3 linked regions of the Stegostoma tigrinum genome follow. The protein of the gene in region 3 purifies or fractionates together with the protein of the main gene of each other region. This does not show direct contact. Links are inferred from orthologs where the notes say so. Each region holds a gene or a part of one and is shown on either strand. Other genes may lie near its edges. The genes, in order: plin2, sqlea and marchf6.

Region 1 (7,959 bases), on a different chromosome or scaffold from region 3:
AAAAGTGTCTATCTATAGCATTGTTGATAACTGAAAATCTGCAATTTTTAAAATCTGTAGAATAAATGGTAACACTCAAAAAAGGCTTATTTTGTGCCAGAGTTGAATAAACATACTGCATTCAACAAGCTATTCCAAGAAATCTATTAGCCTGAGATAACATGGTGTGAAGCTGGATGAATACAGCAAGCCAAGAAGCATCAGAGGAGCAGGAAAGCTAGACGTTTCAGGCCAGGACCCTTCTTCAGTAAATTTTCCTGCTCCTCTCATGCTGCCTGGCCTGCTGTGTTCATTCAGCTTCACACCATGTTATCTCAAATTCTCCAGCATCGGCAACTACCACTATCTCTAACAATTTATTAGCCTGGTTTATTTATACATCTGAACTAGGTGAAAGGTAAAATAGAAGTGCAATTCATCAAGTCGCCACTCCACAAATAGGCAAAAGGGCAGGAGCTTAAAGCATCTTCCTGTAGAGAAGTGGTTCGATACTGAAACTGATGGCATTTGTTGACACTTTCTGACTCATGCCAAATACAAATATTTAGTGAACACTACAACCTGACCACACCCACAGCAAGATAACAAAGTGTGGAGCTGGATGAACACAGCAGGCCAAGCAGCATCTCAGGAGCACAAAAGCTGACGTTTCGGGCCTAGACCCTTCATCAGGGAGGGGGATGGGGAGAGGGAACTGGAATAAATAGGGAGAGAGGGGGAGGCGGTCCGAAGATGGAGAGAATACAAGATAGGTAGACCTACACAGGCCCCAAACCGCAGCTCTTCCTCCGTTACATTGATGACTGTATCGGCGCCACCTCTTGCTCCCCAGAGGAGCTCAAACAGCTCACCCCACTTCACCAACACCTTCCACCCCAACCTCAAGTTCACCTGGGCCATCTCAAACACATCCCTCACCTTCCTGGACCTCTCAGTCAACCAGCTAGAAATGATGTCCATTTCAAGCCCACCGACTCCCACAGCTACATAGAATACACCTCCTCCCACCCACCCTCCTGCAAAAATTCCATCCCCTATTCCCAACTCCTCTGCCTCCGCCGCATCTGCTCCCAGGATGAGGCATTTCAATCCCGCACATCCCAGATGTCCACATTCTTCAAGGACCGCAACTTACCCCCCGCAGTGGTCGAGAATGCCGTTGACCGCGTCTCCCACAACACATCCCTCACACCCCGCCCCCGCCACAACCGCCCCCAGAGGATCCCCCTCATTCTCATATACCACCCCACCAACCTCCAGATACAATGCATCATCCTCCGACACTTCCGCCATCTACTATCCGAGCCCACCATCCAAGCCATTTTTCCATCCCGACCCTTATTTGCCTTCCGGAGAGACCACTCTCTCTCTGACTCCCTTTTCCGCTCCACACTCCCCTCCAACCCCACCACACCCGGCACCTTCCCCTGCAACCGCAGGAAGTGCTACACTTGCCCCCGCACCTCCTCCCTCACCCCTATCCCAGGCCCCAAGATGACCTTCCATATCAAGCAGATGTTCACCTGCACATCTGCCAATGTGGTATATTGTATCCATTGTACCCGGTGTGGCTTCCTCTACATTGGGGTAACCAAGCGGAGGCTTGGGGACCACTTTGCAGAACACCTTCGCGCGGTTCGCAAGAAACAACTGCCCCTCCTAGTCGCGAACCATTTTAACTCCCCCTCCCATTCCTCAGACGACATGTCCATCATGGGCCTCTGGCAGTGCCACAATGATGCCACCCGAAGGTTGCAAGAACAGCAACTCATATTCCGCTTGGGAACCCTGCAGCCCAATGGTATCAATGTGGACTTCACAAGCTTCAAAATCTCCCCTACCCCCACCGCATCCTGAAACCAGCCCAGTTCTTCCCCTCGCCCACTGCATCCCAAAACCAGCCCAGCCTGTCTCCGCTTCCCTAACCTGTTCTTCCTCTCACCCAACCCTTCCTCCCACGTCAAGCTGCACCTCCATTTCCCACCTACCACCTCATCCCGCCTCCTTGACCTGTCCGTATTCCCTGGACTGACCTATCCCCTCCCCACCTATCTTCTTGTCTCTCCATCTTCGGTCCACCACCCCCTCTCTCCCTATTTATTCCAGTTCCCTCTCCCCATCCCCCTCTCTGATGAAGGGTCTAGGCCCGAAACGTCAGCTTTTGTGCTCCTGAGATGCTGCTTGGCCTGCTGTGTTCATCCAGCCGCACATTTTATTATCTTGGATTCTCCAGCATCTGCTGTTCCCATTATCACTCACACCCACAGCAATACGCAATTATAAGTTATAGCTTGCATATGTCTTGTTTATTCAGTAATAGTTTCATTCCTTCTGCTTGAAATCGATCTTAGTGAGATTATAATAGACTTCAAAAGGATCAAGACTAAGCGGGCAAAGGAGAACATTCTTACTTTGTGGTTCCAATTTCTGAAGTATTGGTGTAGCACTGGTGATGGCTACAGATGAAACGACAGTTACACCTTTCTCTGCAACTTCACACAAAGACTTCAGATAGGGGTGATTTTCCTTCGTGCTGCCATACACAGATGTCATCATATCATAGGCAGTGCTGAGAAACGGCAAGTTAGTCACCCGAACAACCACGTTCTAACGAAAAAACAAAAACTAGAGTGAATATAGTTTTTTTTTCCCCCACCAATAATCTGCATTTGAGACTTTGTATTTACATGCCAGTTCAGTTCCTGTCACTTAAGGGGAAAGAGAGCTCTGTTAGTGGCGTGGAAAAGAAAAGCAACAAAATCACACTCTTTCCCCACACTTTCAGATCACCTTCAGCCTATCCCAAGTCCTCACAGGGAAGGGAGTTCCAGGCATTCCCGAGAGAAGTCAGCAGACAGGGATCAACCGGATTGAGACGTTACTCGAGTTCGAATCTACTGAGCAGTTAGGGAACGTTAGTGAAAACCAACACATTAGATCAGCAGGTTCAGTTACGGTTAGTCAGCATTAGCAAATACAGAGTTGCTTTCCAGGTCTAAACACACTTCCAACCGGGAACAGGAGAGAAAAAGTGTACCTGCGGTACTTCCACTATTGAGGCCATGGCTTCCGCTCTGCATTAAAAAAAATGAAATCGAGTTTCAGAACAAAAGAGCTTCGCGTGAATCCGAGCTGCTTTGCCCATCCCTTCGCCCCGATTCAGAGCTCACCGTTCACACAATTATTAACAACCGAGAATCGCAGCCACGTCAGGGCTTAATCAGGACAGAAATTACCAATGTTTCATGGGGCGTAACAGCAAGTGAACAAGCGTCTTCCTGCCAGTATTTATTCGGAAACAACACACGCACTCCCCCCACCCAACCCAGTTATACCGATTAGCCCCCGACCCGCTCCCATTACACCCACCTCCTGCTCCACTTGCGCCGGTTCAAAAGGGTTTGCTCCCTCCCGGAAAGCCTACCCAATGACGTCAGACCATGCAAATTCCAGCCGCAGCACGTCTATCCGGAGCGCATTTGGGGGGGAAAAAAAGCTGCTGAGTTCATTTTCGTCTATATTTCCACTGCCTCTTTCAGCAGACAACTTTTGCCAATGTTTAAGTGCGGAATGTTTCCCATGTTGAAGTTATCTTCTGGCAGCCCCCAAAAGATGTGTAAGGCGGTGAGGGACAAATTCATGTCTATGAACCTAAAAGAACGAGACAAAGCTCGTGTAGCCTTTGCTATGCCTGCATGGCTCCCCTCCGGGTTCTCCAGTTACCTCCTACAGCCGTGCAAAATTGCCAGTGTCCAGGGACTCGTAAGAGTAGGCATGGGGACTGCAGGGATAGTCTAGAGGGTGGGTCTGAGTGGAATGTTCTTCAGAGGTGTGGTATTAATGGGCTGAATGGCCTGCTTCCACACCGTAGGGATTCAATGAGGAACTTCTGATGGTGCTTATATTTCTGCCTGCGCAATAACAGGTAAGCAATGTCCATCATTGAGTCATAAAGCTATACAGTGTGGAAAATAGTCCTTTTGGTCCAACTCGTCCATGCCAACCAGATATCCAAAATTAATCTAGTTCTGTTTGCCAATATTTGGCCCATATCCCTCTAAACACTTCCTATTTGTATACCCATCTTAGATGCCTTTTAAATGTTGTAATTATACCAGCCTGAACCACTTCCTCTGCCAGTTCATTCCATGCACTCACCTGCTGCCCGAAGATATTTTAGAGCCAAATATGTCATATTGAATTGTAGTTACTGATACAATGTAGGAAAGGCTGTTTGAAATGTTCTGCATTAGCAGCGTGTTCATTAAATGAAGACATACACATTTTTTTCCCAGGCATTTGTGGGATGTGGACATCGCTGGCTGGCCAGCCAGCATTTATTGCCCATCCCTACCTGCACTTGAGAAGGTGCTGGTGAACTGCCTTCTTGAACAGCTGCAGTCCACCTGCTGTGCCTTGACTCACAATGCCATTAGGGAGGAAATTCCAGGATTTTGACCCAGCAACAGTGAAGGAACAGCGATATATTTCCAAGTCAGGGTGGTGAGTGGCTTGAGGGAAACTTGAAGGTCGTGGTGTTCCCATATATCTGCTGCCCTTGTCCTCATCATGAAAATGAAATCCACATTGCTGCTCGCTATGTCATGTTGGATTCTGGGTACACTACATTGACAGCTAATGGTTGGAGTTATCGAATAAACTAATTTTGGTGAATAAACTAATTTCCTAGCAGTCGAGGCTATGATATCTTAAGGTCCATCACGGTTCCATTTACAAACTTAATGATTCATTGTGTTGTGGATACAGCTTTTAAAGCTACCAAGAAACATAATTTACTGTACATGTAATTAAATGAAATCAGATAACAGTTTTTACACATTTTTAGGTTCTAGAAAAGACTATCAGAAGTAAAACTGTGAGCTAATAAATAACTGCACAATTTTAATCTTTGTACAGAGATTAACTTTTAGTGTACTTGACTATCACAATGTTTGTTGGAAATGGTGCAAAATATTTGAGGATATGAACAAAGTTGTCCATCAATAAACTTGTGTAAGTATGTCAAATGTCAAACATTTGACAACTTGCCGTTTTATACTTGATAGGGCAGGTACTTGACGATCACAATGTTTGTTGGAAATGGTGCAATGTATTTGAGGATGTGAACAAAGTTGTCCATCAATAAACTTGTGTAAGTATGTCAAATGTCAAACATTTGACAACTTGCCGTTTTATACTTGATAGGGGAGGGGAGTCTCTGTTTCAAATGGAGGAAAATCAGTCAGTTTTCTTTGTAAATATGCTTTCTTGAGCACCTAACCAACTGTCCCAGAATATTTAAGTATTTGTTGTACCCAGCTGATCCAGTGCCCCTGTAAAACAAAACCATGTTGCCATTCAAGGGGATCCCTAGTAATCCTGTGAATTTCTGCTGCTGATTGAACAAGCTGTCAAAGGCCCATCCTCACCGCATTCCTGATCTCTTGAACTTTGGCAGAAACAGAGGTAGATTTCAGTGGGGACTCAACACTGGTGTAACTGGTGGGAACTCAAGTACGGGGACAACATATTAATACTTCAAATCAAACTGAAAAATTGTCAGAGTAAAAGTGCTGTTGGAATATGAATCATGTCTCATTTATTGTATAAGTTAATAGTTCTGAAAACATTAATGTTGATGTTGCATAGCTCTACCCAATTTGATAATGTGACACAGTCTTTGGATGGAGAAACAGTAGTCTTGTGTGGGGCCCTGAGGAAGTCTGATACGACAGACCTGGCTCCTGATGGTTGTGATTGTGCCAGGGTGCTTAATGTTAATTGTATTTATTTTTATCATGCAATTAAATATATTTTGAAATGCAAGGCATGTGTCTCTTCTAATTAATACTCTCTAGTGGTTCATTTGCAATCTTTATAATTGGACAGACCCTTGGTGTCCATATAGAAAGGAAGATTGGTGTCAGCGAATAACACCAACCATCAGCTGCCAATGTAGTGTACCCAGAATCCGTTATGACATAGTGAGCAGCAATGTAGATTCCATTTTTCTGGTGAGCAAAGAAGTGACTTTACCACTTCAAGAACATCACTGCTTTAGGAAAACACTGAGCCATTCAGCAGCCAGACTGTGATAATTGACCAATAGAAACAGTCATGTGAGGTGCAGCAGGACAAATGTAGTTTTCTTGGAAGAAAACACTCACTTCATAATCTGGTAAGGGCCACAGGCAAAATGGCATGGGCTGAGAAAAAGAAGCTAGCCCACAATGGAACTTCAGAGAAGGAGGTTGGTCAGGGAGTAATTGAAGATTCCATCAATAAATTTAGAGATACCAAAGGGAAAGGAAGGAAATGGTTACAAACTTTGCACAGAAATTAGGCAGGAGTGTAAAACAGTTCTCATCTTTCACTATGAGCATGGCTAAATCCTGAGCAGGCTCCATGTCACACAGATACAAAGAACAGGAAAAATAATTTACATTGGGCTGTAATATTGTAAAGGCCATAGAATTTGACAATGGTGGTACAATGGAAGATTTCAAAAATTTGAAGGGTCTGATAGATGAAAGTTAGAAGAATTTTAATACTTTAATGAAATTGGGACATTTGTAATGTAAACAATGATTTCGATGTGAAGACTTGTTAAGACTGCAGTCAAAGAAGTTTACTTCAAAACATCATGCTTTGTGTTTGGGCCATGAAAAGCAAGAAATCATCCAATTTACCCAGGAAGAGAAAAGAAAAAAAGACCTATCTACTAAACATAGGAAAATGTTCTCGAAGATGGGAATGACAATTTTGATCATTAAAATAGGCAGGAATATTCTCAGCAAGCAGTATAACGAGATAACACAATACAGTGTTGTTACTTAACAGTATTTACAGATTTATTGGAAACAATTCATGTAACTTTAACACAGATTAAAAGTGTGAAGCCAACTTTAAGACAATATAATGTAAGCAACATTGATTTATTGCAAGAAAACAAGTTTGAAGACAACAGACGCTTACAAAATGATTCAGTGTAAGAGATGGACCAAACAGAACACTTAGAAGAATATCTTGGAAAGAACATCTTTTAAAATACAGAATTGCTTCAAAATTAAAATGTTATTCTGAAGCTAAACAAGTTAATTCATGCAGCTGGCATTACAAATTGAAATAATATTGAGGCAGAGACAGATACTTGTGACAAAGTTTTAAAAGCTCTGATAATTACTTAAATCTGACAGTTCATAAAACTCTTGAACAGGCTAGATTTAACAGGACAGTGCACTTACAGAGGAATTGGTAGATAATTTCATTAACAACCTCTAAAGATTAGATGAAAGCTGTGACTTTGAAATAAGAGATAAGTAGATATTGAATTTTTTTTGGATTATTAATGAACCTTTGTCAGATTTCTTACAGTTCATGGAAGATTTTACTTTAGAGAAAGCTATTAAAATTATGCTAACTAGAATCCAGGGAAGACTCAGGGATTGATTCTGAGACGAGAACAATGACATATCACAGTAGAGCAACTGGACTTATTCAATTCTTAATGTATGGATATGCTAAAGGGGCAAGTGACTCACCACCATAGACTGTAAGCCAAACAGCAGATATCAAGTGCCTCTGTGAGTGTTGAGGTTAAACAAAGCATCACAGTTACAGGCATAGCAAAAGAATGCAATATTGGTAATTCTGAAACTCATTTCCCGAAGATCTGTAGAAGAAATCTTGGTGATGCCGTAAGCTAAATGCTTGGCCTTAATTAGTGTAGTCAGGCCACTCGAACAAAAATAAAAGCCACAATCAATGATGTAACTTCATTCAAAACAATAAGCAGGCATTCCTCGAGGAAATTACCGCTGCAAATAAATTTAATGATTCAACTGACTCAGGTTGCACAGAACCTATGTCAATGGACATTTTTAAATTTTATAAAAGAATGAGTGTTACTTTTGTCTTAAATATTGATTTTTAAATTTGGATTTTGAAGTGGTGGCATGT
Region 2 (7,847 bases), on a different chromosome or scaffold from region 3:
TGATACAAATTTGAAGAAGACAGGGGAGCTCTCCCTAGAGTCCTTAATAATATTCGTCCCTCAACTAACATCTTTAAGATTTATCTGATTGTTATTAGTAATATTTGATCATTTAACTTTTTACTACCTGTACCAGTTTGTTACGCAAAACATGTCAACTTGTTTCTTACATTACAACAGTGGTCTCACTTCAAAAGAGCTTTACTGACTGTACAGTATTTTAGAACATCTTGAAGTCAGGAAAGATGTTATATGAATGCACTTTTTAAAATCAGAGTCAATATTTCAAGAAGTGGATGAGAGAAATTTAGAAAGTGGTTTTCAAGATCAAAACTTAACATTAACAACACAACATATATTTTGAATAGTTTTAAATTCCAGATGTTATAATAAAAGAGCTAGGATTTGTATAGCTCAAGTTAAACACTGCACTGCAGCCTAGCCTTTTCACAGATTTTAGCTAGAATGTGAATAGAAATGCCTCATTGCATACCCTGCTGCTAATTCACATCACCATTTAAGAAGCATTCGGAACTGTGCTCTACTCCATTTTGAATATACTGAAATGAAAACTAAAATGTGTAATTATTACATTTTACACAATGATGTGATTGTATAATTCCCATTAGATGTACAAGGCATAATATGACAAAATGCTTTAGTGATGCCAATCACTCTCAAAAATGATCCTACCAAACAGATTTCAACCCACGAGCGTTATCTAAATTTTAACCTTTTTCAAATAGATCATTCACGTGTCCATTATTTTAAAATCTTAAACATAATCTCCATATTATTGAATATCATTAAAAATCTTTGTTAGCAGTTTTGAATTAGGAAAAGATTCTAACTGCAATCCCTCATCCTTTCAGTGATGGTCCGCTTCTTCGTCCTTACTCATGGGATTATAGTATGGTTGCCATACAGCCCAATGTGGCCCTGCAAGCTTTTTGTAAGAGCAGTTCACCCTGTCCCACACATTCTTTTTTCCATACCCCTGTATGTTAGTTTCTTCAGCTGATCATTTGACCTTCGCCTGAAAATCCTTCTAGCAGCTTTGTCACTGTTAAAAATATCTAAACGCACCTCTTTGATCAACCTTTCTGATGATCCAAAGAATCCTAACCTTCCTGCATGAGCATGTGTTTCCCTTCATTTATTTATTTACGCAGCGCTTCAGGGCAAATTTTATAGCTTTAACAAGAACGAGTTGTTAATCTTTAATCTATTTTGTAATACAATGTTACAATTTCAACATAAATATTCAATTATTGTATCAAATGTTGGATAAAAATGTCTGTTTATCTTGGCAACACTGGCTTGTCCTCACTGTACACCGAACTGTCGATGCAGACATCATCTCAGTTACTATTCAATTGTTGCCTCTGAATGACATTTAATAATTAACAAGGCAGCAGTACATTTGAATTGTTATTTTTGAGTTTATGTGCCAGTTTTGTTATGGATAAAGAAAACCAATATTCTTATCATTAAAAACGTCTTATAGCATAGTCAAGTTTAAACATTTCTATCTTTAGATCTTTAGGTTGACTCAAAATATTTCAAAATATCTAAAGAAATAGTCAAAGCCTCATTCGCCATTTACTATAGTTAATGCGTGGTGAACACGATTTTGCTTAATGATTTCATATTCTAAACGTTTTTTTTTCTATTTTTAAACCGTTCTTCGAATTTTGCCAGTATACTACAATTCTTTCAAGTCATTTCCTTCTTTAAACAAAACAGCCAAAGATTGGATAACGAACTGATTTTACAACTAGTAGAGAAATACTAATGTGGAAATATGCCACCAAATTCATAATTATTGAATCAATAGAAAGTTTCAAAACAGATTTGAAATGTTTTACTGTACCGGCGTTCTGTTCAGCAATTTGTTATTAAATTAGAAACTGCAATTGGTTTGGGCAGATCTTACAGCATATTTAGCAATCGTCAATACATTGTCACAAAAAAAATCCACCATATGAATAATAATAAGGCATGTTTCTTTTTGCTAGTTATAACAATGACCACTGGTCATCCTGTACCTACCTTGCCTTGCTCGGTATTGATCGAGTCTGTGGGCCCGCTGAAGAGGGAGCTTGCCAGAGGCAGGGCTGAGAGAAGCTGGGAGATGAACCCCAGGTTCGAAGCTTGCTTTCTGCCTTTCCCTTGTCCGTATCTGTATCGATAGGACAGGATCAACCCTAGGGAGAAAAAGACCAGGAATGCCCCGAGCACCTCCTTGTTAGCGTAGCTCACGCTTAGTAAGTCATCGCATTTCTTATAGACATAAGTAAACGTCGCAATTCCCAGGAAAGTCCACATTTTTTAATATAGAAGTTCTCTCCTCAAATTTAATTGAACTGCACTAATGTTCCATTAGAGTCCAAACAATTTTTTTTAATCTCAAAGCAACCCTAGAACATAAATACAAAATTAAAGTATGATTTGGTACACTCCTTCACGGAAAGGTTCAAAAGACGTTCACATTGATTTTTCTCTTAATTATCCCGTAAATGATCTTCACTTCATCCTCGGCTGATTGCTGTGGAAGGAAAAGAGAAACGTAATTCAAATAGGCAGAGAAATACAATTTTTCCACAGTCCAACAAATACAATACACCTTTTTTTGTTAAATTCAAGTCGGGGGTTATAATCTCAGATTTATTATTTGATGATTTTTTAAAATAAATCCATACTTCGGTTATCCCTTATAAGATGAATTCAAGAGGCCAATATGATGATAATAAAAAAATTATGGAGCTCAGAAAGCGGCGAGTCGGCCCATCAGTTTTCAGTATCTGACAGTAGAAAAGCATTTTCAGTAACCTTACTGTTATGTTTGCAGCATTTTTTTGTTTTGTTTGTTGTTTTTGTTCCCGGGTAATGACTCTTTGCTTCCCGGAGTGAGGAGATGGCAGTGTGCTAGGAAATAGTCCAAGACAGGACTCCGTTCTGTATCTCCTTGCCTGTCTCTCCTGATGCCTGGCGGTAGCCGGGATGTAACAAGATGTGAATGAAGCTGCGGAGTAACAACGTGGTCCCGCCCCCTCAGTCCTGCTGCCTGTCGAGGCTCTGCACCAATCAAGACCCGGCGTGCCGGTGAGCTGAGCTCACGCTATCCGGGGACTGTCCAATGAGGGCCAGTCCCAGGGAGGGCCCGCCTTCTCCCGTCTCCTAGCATGATGTGATGTCACAAAGAGGGAGCCGCAACAATAGCATCCTTCTGTCACGCGTCAATTCAATCAGGCTCCCCTCTCCATAGCGTTGTGTGACAGTTTGTCCCCAAAGCAACAGCAATCACTGAGTGAGCCATTACACTCCCCTTTTTGAGCCTGCTCTGCCTTTCAATCTCACCTTGCTTCATCTTACTGTGGGCTCAGCTCTTCCACATTCCATGGAGATCGTGAGGACTGTGGATGCTGGATGTCGGAGTCGATAACGTGGAGCCGACCTGTGCAGCAGGTCAGACAGCATCAGAGGAACAGATTCTAATGAAGAGTCCCGAACCGAAAAGCCAACTTTCCTGCCCCTCTGTCGCTGTCTGACCTGCTGTGCTCTTCCTCCACATTCCTGTCTGCCTCCTGTTCCTTCACACCATGCCTCACTCCACCAACCCCATAACCCTTTATCTGTAATAAACATTTGTTTAACTCTTCTGAAGAAGGGTCGAGGCCCGAAAAGTCGGCCTTCCTGTTCCTCTGATGCTGCTTGGCCTGCTGTGTTCATCCAGCTCTACACCTTATCTCAGATTCTCCAGCATCGGCAGTTTCCACTATCTCTGACTTAATAAGGACTGTAAAGTTGAATACTTTATACTTATCTCTATTTTGCCTTTATATTCTATGTTTTGGTTTATTTTTCTGTGTTTTAAGGTGGTGTTTTTTACTGTATTTTGTAGCAATATAAATGTGACAATAAATAAAGTCAAAATAAATGAGTTCCACAGGCTGACAATCCCCTAAGGAGTGGCACAGTAGCTCAGTGATCAGAACTGCACTTGGGTGAGATTCTGTGTGAAGTTTGCATATGGTGTGTTTGGGTCTCCTCCAAGTGTTCCAGTTTCCATCCACAGTCCGAAGATGTGCAGGTTGGGTGGATTGGTCATGCTAAATATCCCCATAGTGTCAAGGGATGGTCACGCCACATGGGTTAACCACGGTAATGTGGGTTATGGGGGTAGGGTGGGGTGCTGGATCTGGCTGGGATGCTCTTCAGAGTGTTGGTACAGACTCAATGTCCTTTTTCCCATGTGGGTATTCTAAATTCCAAAAGAAACTCACCATCGTAAGTGGAAGACCTGATTCTAGGCTCGTCCACAAGGGGAAAGTCCTCACCACATAGACGCATTCAACGCACTAATGAAGTATTCCCCTTTATCAACAAACCCTTGCAATGAAAACAACAAGTGCTTTTGCCACACTTTGAAGTCACGTTCTCTATTCACCCACATAAGTCTACAAGATATCTGACCAGAAGTGAGACATGCAGCCCATCAAGTCTGTTCTGCCATTCTATGAAATAATCAGAGCATTGGGAAACAATCAAAAAGTAATCGTGAGATTACAGACCAACATGTTCCAGTAAAAGCGAAGGGTTGGATACACAGGTGCAGAGAACCCAGATGTCAAGAGATGTATTGGATTGGATTAGAGAGAAAGGAATCTTATGTTAGATACCAAAGGCTCAAAATAGGCCCTTGAGAAGTACAGAAAGTGTAAGTTGTTGCTTAAAACAGAGGAATCAGGGGAGTGAAGAGGCTATTGCAAAAGCATTCATGGGTATCATAAGGAAGGGTGAGAGATGGTGCAGGGGAGATTCATCATGATGTTGTCTGGGCTGGAGTGTTTCAACTGTGAAGAGAGACAAGATAGGCTGAGGTTATTTCCCAGAGAAAGAAAATTGAGGTGGTGGATGTGATTGAAATGCACATAGACAGGACAAATGCTTCATCTTAGTCGGGAGGTCAATCACCAGGGAGCACAGCTTTAAAATAAGGAACAATAGGTTTGGAAGGAATTTGAAGAAAATGTTTTTCACCCGATAGGTAGTAGGTATTTATAAATTCATTGCTGAAAGAATAGAAGAGTCAAAAACTATGAACACATTTACAAATTATTTAGATGAACACTTGAAATGCCACAGCATACAAGACTGTAGGCCAAGCACTCGAAAATGGGATTAGAATAGATGCATTAAAAAAAATCTGGAGAAACTCGGCAGGTCCAGGAGCATCCGTGAAAAGAAAACAGAATTAATGTTTCATTAACAGTTAATCTACCTGAAGAAGCGTCACTAGATATGAAACATTAACTCTGTTTTCTCTATTCTAATCCCATTTTTGACTTGGCCTATAGTCTTATATGCTATGACTCTACCATTGTTTCAGCAATGAATTACAGGTACCTACTATCATAGGGTGAAAAACATTTTCCTCAAATTCCATTTAAACCTCTGGCTCCTTATTTTTGTTTATTTCAGATCTCCAACATCCATTGTACTTTGTTTATTTTAGAAGAGATACGAGTGATGCAGACACATTAGGCCAAACAGCTTCTGTCCCTGCAGTTTGACGCTTTCTCTCTAACTCCCTTACTTCCTGAATATCAACAGGAAGTTAATATTGAGGCCAATGTGTCAGTCACTTGTCCCCGCAATGTGTCAGTCACTTGTCCCCGCAATGTGTGCAATGTAGGAATGCCATCCTCTGCGCTTTAAACAATGCGTGAGCCCCTTACCTCCACACTGTAATTCTTATCCTCCCCTTTGTACTTTTCCACCTTCCCACCACATTTAGTGGGGTGGGTTTTATGACTAGACCATAAATATTCAGCTAACAAAGTGTGGAGCTGGATGAACACAGCAGGCCAAGTAGCATCTTAGGAGCACAAAAGCTGACGTTTTGGGTCTAGACCCTTCATCAGAGAGGGGCATGGGGAGAGGGTTCTGGAATAAATAGGGAGAGAGGGGGAGGCGGACTGAAGATGGAGAGAAGATAGGTGGAGAGGTAGGGAGGGGATAGGTCAGTCCAGGGAGGATGGACATGTCAAGGGGGCGGGATGAGGTTGGTAGGTGGGAAATGGAGGTGTGGCTTGAGGTGGGAAGAGGGGATAGGTGAGAGGAAGAACAGGTTAGGGAGGCGGGGATGAGATGGGCTGGTTTTGGGATGCAGTGGGAGGAGGGGAGATTTTGAAGCTGGTGAAATCCACATTGATACTATTGGTCTGCAGGGTTCCCAAGCAGAATATGAGTTGCTGTTCCTGCAACCTATGAGTGGCATTATTATGGCACTGCAGGAGGCCCAGGATGGACATGTCGTCTAAGGAATGGGAGGGGGAGTTAAAATGGTTCCCAACTGGGCGGTGCAGTTGTTTATTGCGAACCAAGCGTGGGTGTTCTGCAAAGCGGTCCCCAAGCCTCTGCTTGGTTTCCCCAATGTAGAGGTAGCCACACCGGGTACAGCGGATGCAATATACCACATTGGCGGATGTGCAGGTGAACATCTGTTTGATGTGGAAAGTCATCTTGGGGCCTGGGATGGGGGTGAGGGAGGAGGTGTGGGGGCAAGTGTAGCATTTCCTGCGGTTGCAGGGGAAAATGCCAGGTGGAGGTGGTTGAGAACGCCCTCGACTGTGTCACCCGCATTTCCCGCAACTCATCCCTCACATCCCTCCTTTGCAATAACCGGCCAAAGAGAATCCCCCTAGTCCTCACATACCACCCCACCAACCTCCGGGTACAATGCATCATCCTCCGACACTTCCGCCATCTACAATCCGATCCCACTACAAAAGACATTTTTCCACTCCCACCCTTGTCTGCCTTCTGGAGAGACCACTCTCTGTGCGACTCCCTTGTCCGCTCCACACACCCCTCCAACCCCACCACACACGGCACTTTCCCCTGCAACCGCAGGAAGTGTTACACTTGCCCCCACATCTCCTCCCTCACCCCCATCCCAGGCCCCAAGATGACTTTCCATATTAAGCAGATGTTCACCTGCACATCTGCCAATGTGGTATACTGCATCCACTGTACCCATTGTGGCTTCCTCTACATTGGGGAAACCAAGCGGAGGTTTGGGGACCGCTTTGCAGAACACCTACGCTCGGTTCGCAATAAACAACTGCACCTCCCAGTTACAAACCATTGTAACTCCCTCTCCCATTCTATAGACGACATGTCCATCCTGGGCCTCCTGCAGTGCCATAATGATGCCACCCGAAGTTTGCAGGAACAGCAACTCATATTCCGCTTGGGAACCCTGCAGACCAATAGTATCAATGTGGATTTCACCAGCTTCAAAATCTCCCCTCCTCCCACTGCATCTCAAAACCAGCTCGTCCCCGCCTCCCTAACCTGTTCTTCCTCTCACCTGTCCCCTCCTCCCACCTCAAGCCGCACCTCCATTTTCTACCTACTAACCTCATCCCTCCCCCTTGACCTGTCTGTCCTCCACAGACTGACCTATCCCCTCCCAACCTCCCCACCCATACTCTCCTCTCCACCTATCTTCTCCTCTATCCATCTACGGTCCGCCTCCCCCTCTCTCCCTATTTATTTCAGAATCCTCTCCCCATCCCCCTTTTCTGATGAAGGGTCAAGGCTCAAAACGTCAGCTTTTGTGCTTCTAAGATGCTGCTTGGCCTGCTGTGTCCCTTCTGTTCTTATCCTGTTCATAAGTGGGAACTGATTCTCCATACCCACACTGTCCAGACAACTCATCATTTTGAAAACTTGTATCAGATTTCCTCTTTGCCTTCTCGTGTCTGTGAAAACAGTCCCAATTTCTCTAAACTTTCCTCATAACTTAAATGTCTCATCCCTGAAATCTCTCTGTATTC
Region 3 (7,705 bases):
AGTTTATGACAGTGCATTGCCAGGCATGTAGGCCTTTGCAAAAACTAGTGGATTATATCAAACTGTATGTGCCTTGGCCTTTTGCAGTGCAGTGGGCTGCACTGTCAACTGTGGTCAACCAGTCCATGCTTGCAAAACTCTGAACATGGTGTCCAACATTAGGTGTGATTCTGCTATTGGATGTAATGCATAACAATATGAATAAAAAGTCCTAACACCTGCTAAAAATTAATCTTAACTCGGAAACAAGTTTCAGTCAGATTCTGTGATTCATTTGCACGAATCAGAAGATATGTTTTTCCATACACAGGGTATTGTTCTTTGTCTACACATGAACATGTTCCATATATTGCACAATTTTGAATGGGGACAGTTAGCTTTGGTGATAGTCGATCCCTCCTGTGCCCCTAAGGCTACAATCTGACCAATCTGAATTGACTTACCTAGGTTGAATTTAACCAATTAACTAACCGTGACAGTGAACGTTTCATGCAGCTTTCCCATGCTAACAGCTAGTCAGCATCCTCTTCTCATGCTATATAAATTGTTATACACATTCCAAATGGAATTTCATTGCATTTTAGTCCTGATGAGTGCAAGATGCAAAGTTTTGATTTCATGTCAATTGTTAATGTTTAAATGATATACTACTAAGCAATTATTAGTCCAGAAGATCCCAAGATCACATCAGAAACTGTGGAGGCTTCCTTCTTTAATTAAACAACCTGTGAGAAGTAGCCTGATTTGGATGATATCATTCGCAAGCTGCCAGGGAGCCCCTGTATACTGCTAGAGATTACAGTATTTCTATCTGTTCATTACCCTTCTTCATTTGTTGCTGGATTACTGGACAACTATGGTTCCAGGGATAGCAAGGCATAACCTATATCTTTATGTCCAGTTTCAACATACCATGTGTTTTTATGTGTTTTCACATCTGACACATTGGTCTTACCATACATATAAAACATGTTCTGGAATGAAAGAACACCTTTTCTTCACATGGTGACGCATGCTGTTAGAATATAGAAAGGAGAGAGAGAGATAGGGGGAATTGGACCCAGGTGTCATGATGTGTATCAGAGCTCGACAGCAATCCACCACTCAAAAAAGTTTGAAAATCACTGCCAAACAGCTGGACAAAATGATATTAGGACAACCAAATGAAGTGAAAAACAGAAGTAACTGAAAACAAAACATAATTCTCAAAGCATTTAGAAATTTTGTCATGTAATGTGGACACTGGCAATGTCAGCATTTATTCTCCAATTCTAATTCACTCTCTTTTTTTAGGTATATACAATGCAGGATTTTGACCCATGCATCTATTGTTTTATTCCTTTGGGATGGAGAGGCCATGGGTTTGGAAGGCACTGTTTTTGTATGTGTCTTGTAGATGATAGACACTGCTGTTGCTGTGTACCAGTGTTGAAGGGAATATTTTAGGCTGTCGATATAGACTAATCACATGGACAAATTTGATCCAAGTGGTGTACAGGTTTTTCAGTGTTGTGGCAACTGCACTCAACCAGGTGTATTTTATTACACTTATCATTTATCTCTTGTATATGTTGGATTGACTTTGAAGAATCAGGATGTTAATTATTCACTGCTGAATTCCCATCTTCTCACCTGTTTTATAGCTAAAGTATTTACATGATTGGTCCAATTCAGTCTCTGGTTAATGGTAACTCCCAAGGCATGGATGGTGCAGTATTATTGATGGGGGTGGCAATGAATGTCAAGGGGAGATGGTTACATTCTAACTTACCAGAAATGACTGTTTGGCAATTGTGTGGTAAGTGATATCCACGTCTCACTTCATTATCTGTGAAACAATAATTGAAGCAATGTTGTGGAACCATCAACAAACATCTCCCTTGCTGACCCTATGATGGAGGAAATGTCATTGATATTTCTGCTGAAGATGTTTGGCATAAAATTCTGCAATGGGAACTCCTGGAACAGCAACTCAGCCAGACCAAGTCCCTGTCTTTTCCCCAAAAGTCTTACAAATATTTAACTCTTGCAACTCATTTTACTCTCCAATTTAAAGTCACAATTGAATCTGCCTTGACATTATACTCAGGTAGCATATTCCAGATACTAAGCAAGCACTTCATAAAAATATTGTAAAAAGCAATCAGGTAGAGAACATGAGGAAAGGGCCAGATAACAGAAATTCTAATGGTGCAACACAAAAGTCATGTTAAAAACATTTAAACAGGAAATAAAACACAATACCCAGAGAATACGTGAAGAGCAAATTATTACAGGTTGATGCAAAATCTGACGGATATGGGGTTTTGTAACTGATACTAAAAAGTTCGTAAGAACTCTAAATGATGTTTGATTTGGAAGCTTATCAGCAAACCATCCTTAGGATGTATAAAGCACACTGATAGGCTGACATCATGAGATTGAGGTGAAGAGATTCAAAAATGCCTTAAGTTTTTAGAAGAGTCCTTCCTAGAACTGGGCAAAGTCAAATGCGTATTTAATGTTGGTGATCTCATTAACCGCTAATTTTCTCTTTAAACTACATATTAAGAAAGATGCATTTATTTTTAAACAATATCTCTGTTATTTCTTTACAATTTGCTGTATTATTGGGAATTAAAGACACAATATCGTCACATATGAATGAAGGTCAACGGCAATTATTCGACGTTAGAAATAGAAGACATGACAGTGGACTCCAGTAAAGGCAAGCTAATGTTTTGGATTCTAATCAAAAATGGTGATTGCAAGAAAGCCAAATTCATACACATACCTGACCAGCTGAGCGTTTCCAACATCTTGTTTAAAAATGTCTTTATTTTTTATATTGTGTTTTCTTTTCCTTAAACAGGTGCAAGGAATCTCGGGGATGTTGATTCAAGGCATCAGGAAGTCCCAACACTGCGCAACGAGACCAAGTCAACTAGGACGTTGCTCGACAGGAAAAGGTGCGTGAGACAGGTTCTGTGAATGAAAGGACATCGCAGGCAAGTTCCCGACAGGGACTGGTCACCTGACTACAGCACAATTGCTACACCGGATTCCATGGGTACCGGGCCCGGATCTGCGCGTGCTCCTTTGGAATCTGCTCTTTTCACGTCAGAGAGCCTGGGGGGGCGCTCGGAAACATTATGACATGAAAGACAGTATTATACTCACCTTTTCCACATGGAAACTGTGCAAAAGGCCGATAAACTTAACACTAGTATAGTAAATGCTTGGAATGAAAACACATCATTAATCTATTACTCTATTTCAAGTAGTTACACGGAACTGCCAGTGTCTTGTAGCCTCGGAGTCAAAAGGCTATCGTGGCGCCGTGGCTTAGTTGGTTAAAGCGCCTGTCTAGTAAACAGGAGATCCTGGGTTCGAATCCCAGCGGTGCCTGCACCTTGTTTTCCACTCCAACCTTACTGTTCATCAAATTCGCAAGTTCAGCGTTTATGATGCACGATGATTAATCTTTTAAATTTAAAATTAAGCATTTTACGATGAGCGTTTAGGTGGCCACAATTTTTTTTGTCTTGGATGTGTTTTACATCAGTAAATCTGTGACCGAAATCAGTCCGTAAGGTCGCTCTAATGAAGTTTCATTTTGAATTGAGAAACACTTTAAAAGAAATAACAAGAACGGCTTTCCATTTTTGTCTTCCGTTTTCTCACCATTTCATCTGTAATAGTGGAAGAGTCTTAGTTGAGGCACTGCAGAGAATTTCTGCAAATTAACTCAAATCTTGAATTCATAAAACAACAGAAAACCACGTCTACAGCTCCTACTCATTTACTTCTCAGGGCCTCACTACAGCAAATTGCAAATTATTTCTTTTTTCTCTTCTTTGAAACTTTCAATACTTCAGCAGTTTAAACTTAGATCAGTTAAAAGTCTGTTGGAAACAATTTATGTCTTCCCGAGCTCGTTAAATAAATATACATAATTTAGATAATATCTGAGAAAATATTTGAGCGCCTTAAACTGCATCAATATTTTTCGTTTGTTCTGCTCGCCGGTTTCAAAGTAATTGGCACAGTATCTGCTAATTAGATCGTAACACCGGTTGCTTCATAGCTTTTTATGTTACATTTGGACATTTTTGCAGTGTCATCTCCTTAGACAGTTTCGTAGAAGCACATCCATATTCTGTGATATATTCATGCAGCGAAATGGGCGACATTCATGACTTTGTTATTTTTTTTAATGGGATTAAGTATTAATTGTGGACTCAGGGCCGGCTTTTCAGTTCTCCTGAAACAATTGGTGATAAGGTACAGAGTATTACAAGATAAATTATATAGTGAACTTTCATGTAAAGTCTTTGTAAAAAGTGTCCAGTACAGATTTTCTGAGACATAATTAGGACTTACAACTATATTTTATATATTCCTAGGAGTTTGTATATTAGAGTAATCTAAATCTGTAATTTGATGTTGCTGTGTTTTCCTGTAATTTAAAGCTTAGGTGCAGTCTATTTAATGATGAAGGGTCTAGATCCGAAACGTCAGCTTTTGTGCTCCTGAGATGCTGCTGGGCCTGCTGTGTTCATCCAGCTCCACACTTTGTTATCATGCAGTCTATTTAAGTTGCTTTTCAGACTGGATCCCTGCAGCTAACAATATGCTGCAAGGATCGATGCTAGGACCACTGCTTTTTGTCACTTATATAAATTATTTGGATGTGAATATACGAGGTATGGTCAGTAAGTTTGCAGATGACACCAAAATTGGTAGTGTGACTGACGGTGAAGAAGGTTACTTCAGGGTACAATGGGACCTTGGTCAGATGGGCAAATAGGCCCAGAAGTGGCAGATGAAGTTTAATTTAGGTCAATGTGAGGTGCTGAGTTTTGGTAGGACAAGTAATGGCAGGACTTGTACATTTAATGGTAAGGTCCTGGGCAGTGTTGCCAAACAAAGAGACCTTGGTTGGTGGGGGGTGGGGGGGGGGGGTGGTAAGTTAATAGTTCCTTTCATGTGGAGTTACAGGTAGACAGAGTAGTGAAGAAAGCATTTAGTATTCTTGACTTTATTGATCAGTGCAATGAGTACACGAGTTGGGAGGTCATTTTGAGGCTGTACAGGATACTGGTTAGCCCATTTTTAAAATATGATGTTCAGTTCTGGTCTCCCTGCTATAGGTGGGAAGTTGTTAAACTTGAAAGGGTTCAGAAAAGATTTACAAAGAAGTTGTCAGGGTCGAAGTGTTTGAACTGGAGGGAGAATCTAAGTAGGATGGGGAAGTTTTCCCTGGGGTGTCAAAGGCTGAGGGGTGACTTTATAGAGGATCATAAAATCATGAGGGGCATAGATAGGGTGAATAGTCGAGGTCTTTTTCCCAGGGTAGGGAGTCCAAAACTAGAAGGCATAGGTTTAAGGTGTGAGGGGAAAGATTTTAAAGGGACCTGAGGGGCAACTTTTTCAGGCAGAAGGTGATGCATGTATGGAATGAGCTGCCAGAGGAGATGGTGGAGGCTGGTACGATTACAACATTTAAATGGCATCTGAATGGGTGTTTGAATAGGAAGGGTTTAGAGGGATATGGCCCAAATGCTAACAAACAGGAGTAGATTAATTTAGGATACCTAGTTGGCATGGATGAGTTGGACCAAAGGGTCCGTTCCCATTCTATACAACTGTAACACTTTAAGTCACTTACTACTCTCCAACGTTAACTAATTCAGTTCTGAGCATATAATCATAGAAACCTAGAGAATAGGAACAGGAACAGGCTATTCAGCCCAGAGAGATCATTCTGCTATTCAATGTGATCATTGATTATCCTCTATTTCAATACCCTACTCCCGCTCTTCTTCCACCAGACTCCATGACACTTTTGGTCTCTAGAAATCTATTTATTTCTTAAAAATATGCCGGGACCTGGCTTCCACAGCTTTCTATTGAAGAGAATTCCACGGCCTCTGAGTGAAGAAAATTCTTTCCATCTCAGTCTGAAGTGGACTACTGTGTATCCTGAGACTGTGACTACTCCCACCCTCCCGACATTCCCACCCCACAACCCCTGACTCCAAACAGAGAAAACACAATGGGGAAACACTTTGCGTCTAGTCTAACCAGCCTGGCAATTCTTTTGTTTCATTGCAATTCACTCATTCTTTTAGACTCCATTGAGTACAGGCTCAATCGGCCCAAGATCTCCACATACATTGAAACTAGCCCCTACCTTTGGGCCAGGCAGCCTGAATTCAAGTTCTGTCTGCTCCACAAGCCTGTCATAGCATCTCTGAACAGCCTTATTAGAAAATATATCCTCATACCTGCCATTGTAGGAATCAGTCTGATAAAAATTTGCTGCACTCCCTCTATGGCAAATCTATCTTTTTTTTAAGTAAGAAAAGCAGAACTACACACAATACTCGAGGTGTGGTTTCACCAAGGCCCAGTACGACTGTAGCTAGAATTACTTCTGTACTCAAACCTTTTGACAATGTAGGCCAATGTATCACTTGTCTTCCCAGTTGCTTGCTGCCCCTGCATGCTTGGCTTCAAAGACTAAACGCAAGAATACTCAGGTGTTTTTGGACAATGTTTCCCAATCATTCACCATTTAATAATGAAAACTGAAAGACATCCAGATGCTGTAAATCAGGTACACAAACAGAAGTTGTTGGAGAAACTCAGTAGGTCTGGTAGCATCTGTGAAGGAAAAATCAGAGTAAACATTTCAGGCCCCGTGACCCTCCCTCAGAACTTCCTCCGTTCTAAGGAAGGATCACTGAACCTGAAACGTTAACTCTGATTTTTTCTTTATAGATGCTGTCAGACATGCTGAGCTTTTCCAATAACTTCTGTTTTTGGATGTGAACATAGGAGGTAAGCTTCATGAAAATCAAAATACGGCACATCCACTGGTTCATCCTAATGTTTTCCACTAGTTATATTCTCAAAAAACTCCAGCAGGTTTGCAAAACACAACTTCTCTTTCATAAATCCATGTTGGCTTTACATAATTCCTTTGGTACTTTTAATTGGCCTGAGATCAATCCTTTAGAACAGAATCTAGCATTTTCCGTAATATTAATGTAAGGATAACTGGTAAGTACTTCTTGGATTTCACCCTCCCTCCATTTTTAAATATTGATATTACATTGTTAACCCTTCAATCCACCAGGACTTTCTCACATTCACACTTTATAGATTTTAATCTACAATTAACCTGTGATGTTGATATTCGTGCCCTGGGAGTTAGTAACTTTCAGTTTCATTAATTTCTTTGGCATTTTATTGAACTAATACCAATATCTTTAAATTCATCTTGTCTAATAGAAGTTCTTATAACACTGTGAACCAGCCACCCAATGCCTCCTGAAGGCTATTAAAGCATCAGAGAAGGAAAACTGAAAAAACAGCATCCTAATCAGTACAAGAACCATCTCAGCAGTTTTTGTTCTGCAGATTCTGCTTTCTTCCTGTACCTTAAATACCCATATTGTTTTCCTATGTATATCTGGGCAGTTCATTAGGAGGTTAGCGATTTAACCAATAAAGTTATATGCTGATGATTTGTAACTGTATTCCTGTAGTTATTGTATATTTATTAAAATAAATAGTAATTTTTGTTATGTACAGAAACCTGGTCCATGTCTTTCTGTCAACCTGGGTCTGAAATACAGGAAAATCAGAAAATTCTGTGTATTTAAAAAGGAAACTTTAAATTTTGTGATGACTCTGGAAATAGCAGCACAATACCCGA

Evidence for each region.
Region 1: the proteins of marchf6 (region 3) and plin2 purify together in Homo sapiens (affinity purification with western blotting; 3 studies listed by BioGRID). This does not show direct contact. The link is inferred for Stegostoma tigrinum from reciprocal best matches to the Homo sapiens genes MARCHF6 and PLIN2.
Region 2: the proteins of marchf6 (region 3) and sqlea purify together in Homo sapiens (affinity purification with western blotting; 4 studies listed by BioGRID and IntAct, with this or other methods). This does not show direct contact. The link is inferred for Stegostoma tigrinum from reciprocal best matches to the Homo sapiens genes MARCHF6 and SQLE.

The regions. Positions count from the first base shown.
Region 1 is NC_081356.1:22,689,960-22,697,918, reverse strand, and holds the start of plin2 (perilipin-2), read right to left. Parts: upstream 3,013-7,959; 5' UTR 2,836-3,012; coding exon 2,791-2,835; intron 2,608-2,790; coding exon 2,412-2,607; intron 1-2,411. Other genes in the region: uncharacterized protein LOC132207334, read left to right, coding at 6,197-6,250. UniProt on the Homo sapiens protein: Structural component of lipid droplets, which is required for the formation and maintenance of lipid storage droplets.
Region 2 is NC_081358.1:47,559,604-47,567,450, forward strand, and holds the start of sqlea (squalene monooxygenase), read right to left. Parts: upstream 3,021-7,847; 5' UTR 2,833-3,020; intron 2,549-2,832; 5' UTR 2,329-2,548; coding exon 2,053-2,328; intron 1-2,052. UniProt on the Homo sapiens protein: Catalyzes the stereospecific oxidation of squalene to (S)-2,3-epoxysqualene, and is considered to be a rate-limiting enzyme in steroid biosynthesis.
Region 3 is NC_081355.1:23,726,882-23,734,586, reverse strand, and holds the start of marchf6 (E3 ubiquitin-protein ligase MARCH6), read right to left. Parts: upstream 3,009-7,705; 5' UTR 2,799-3,008; coding exon 2,774-2,798; intron 1-2,773. UniProt on the Homo sapiens protein: Endoplasmic reticulum membrane-associated E3 ubiquitin ligase that plays a critical role in mitigating endoplasmic reticulum stress, the regulation of cholesterol and lipid homeostasis, and ferroptosis.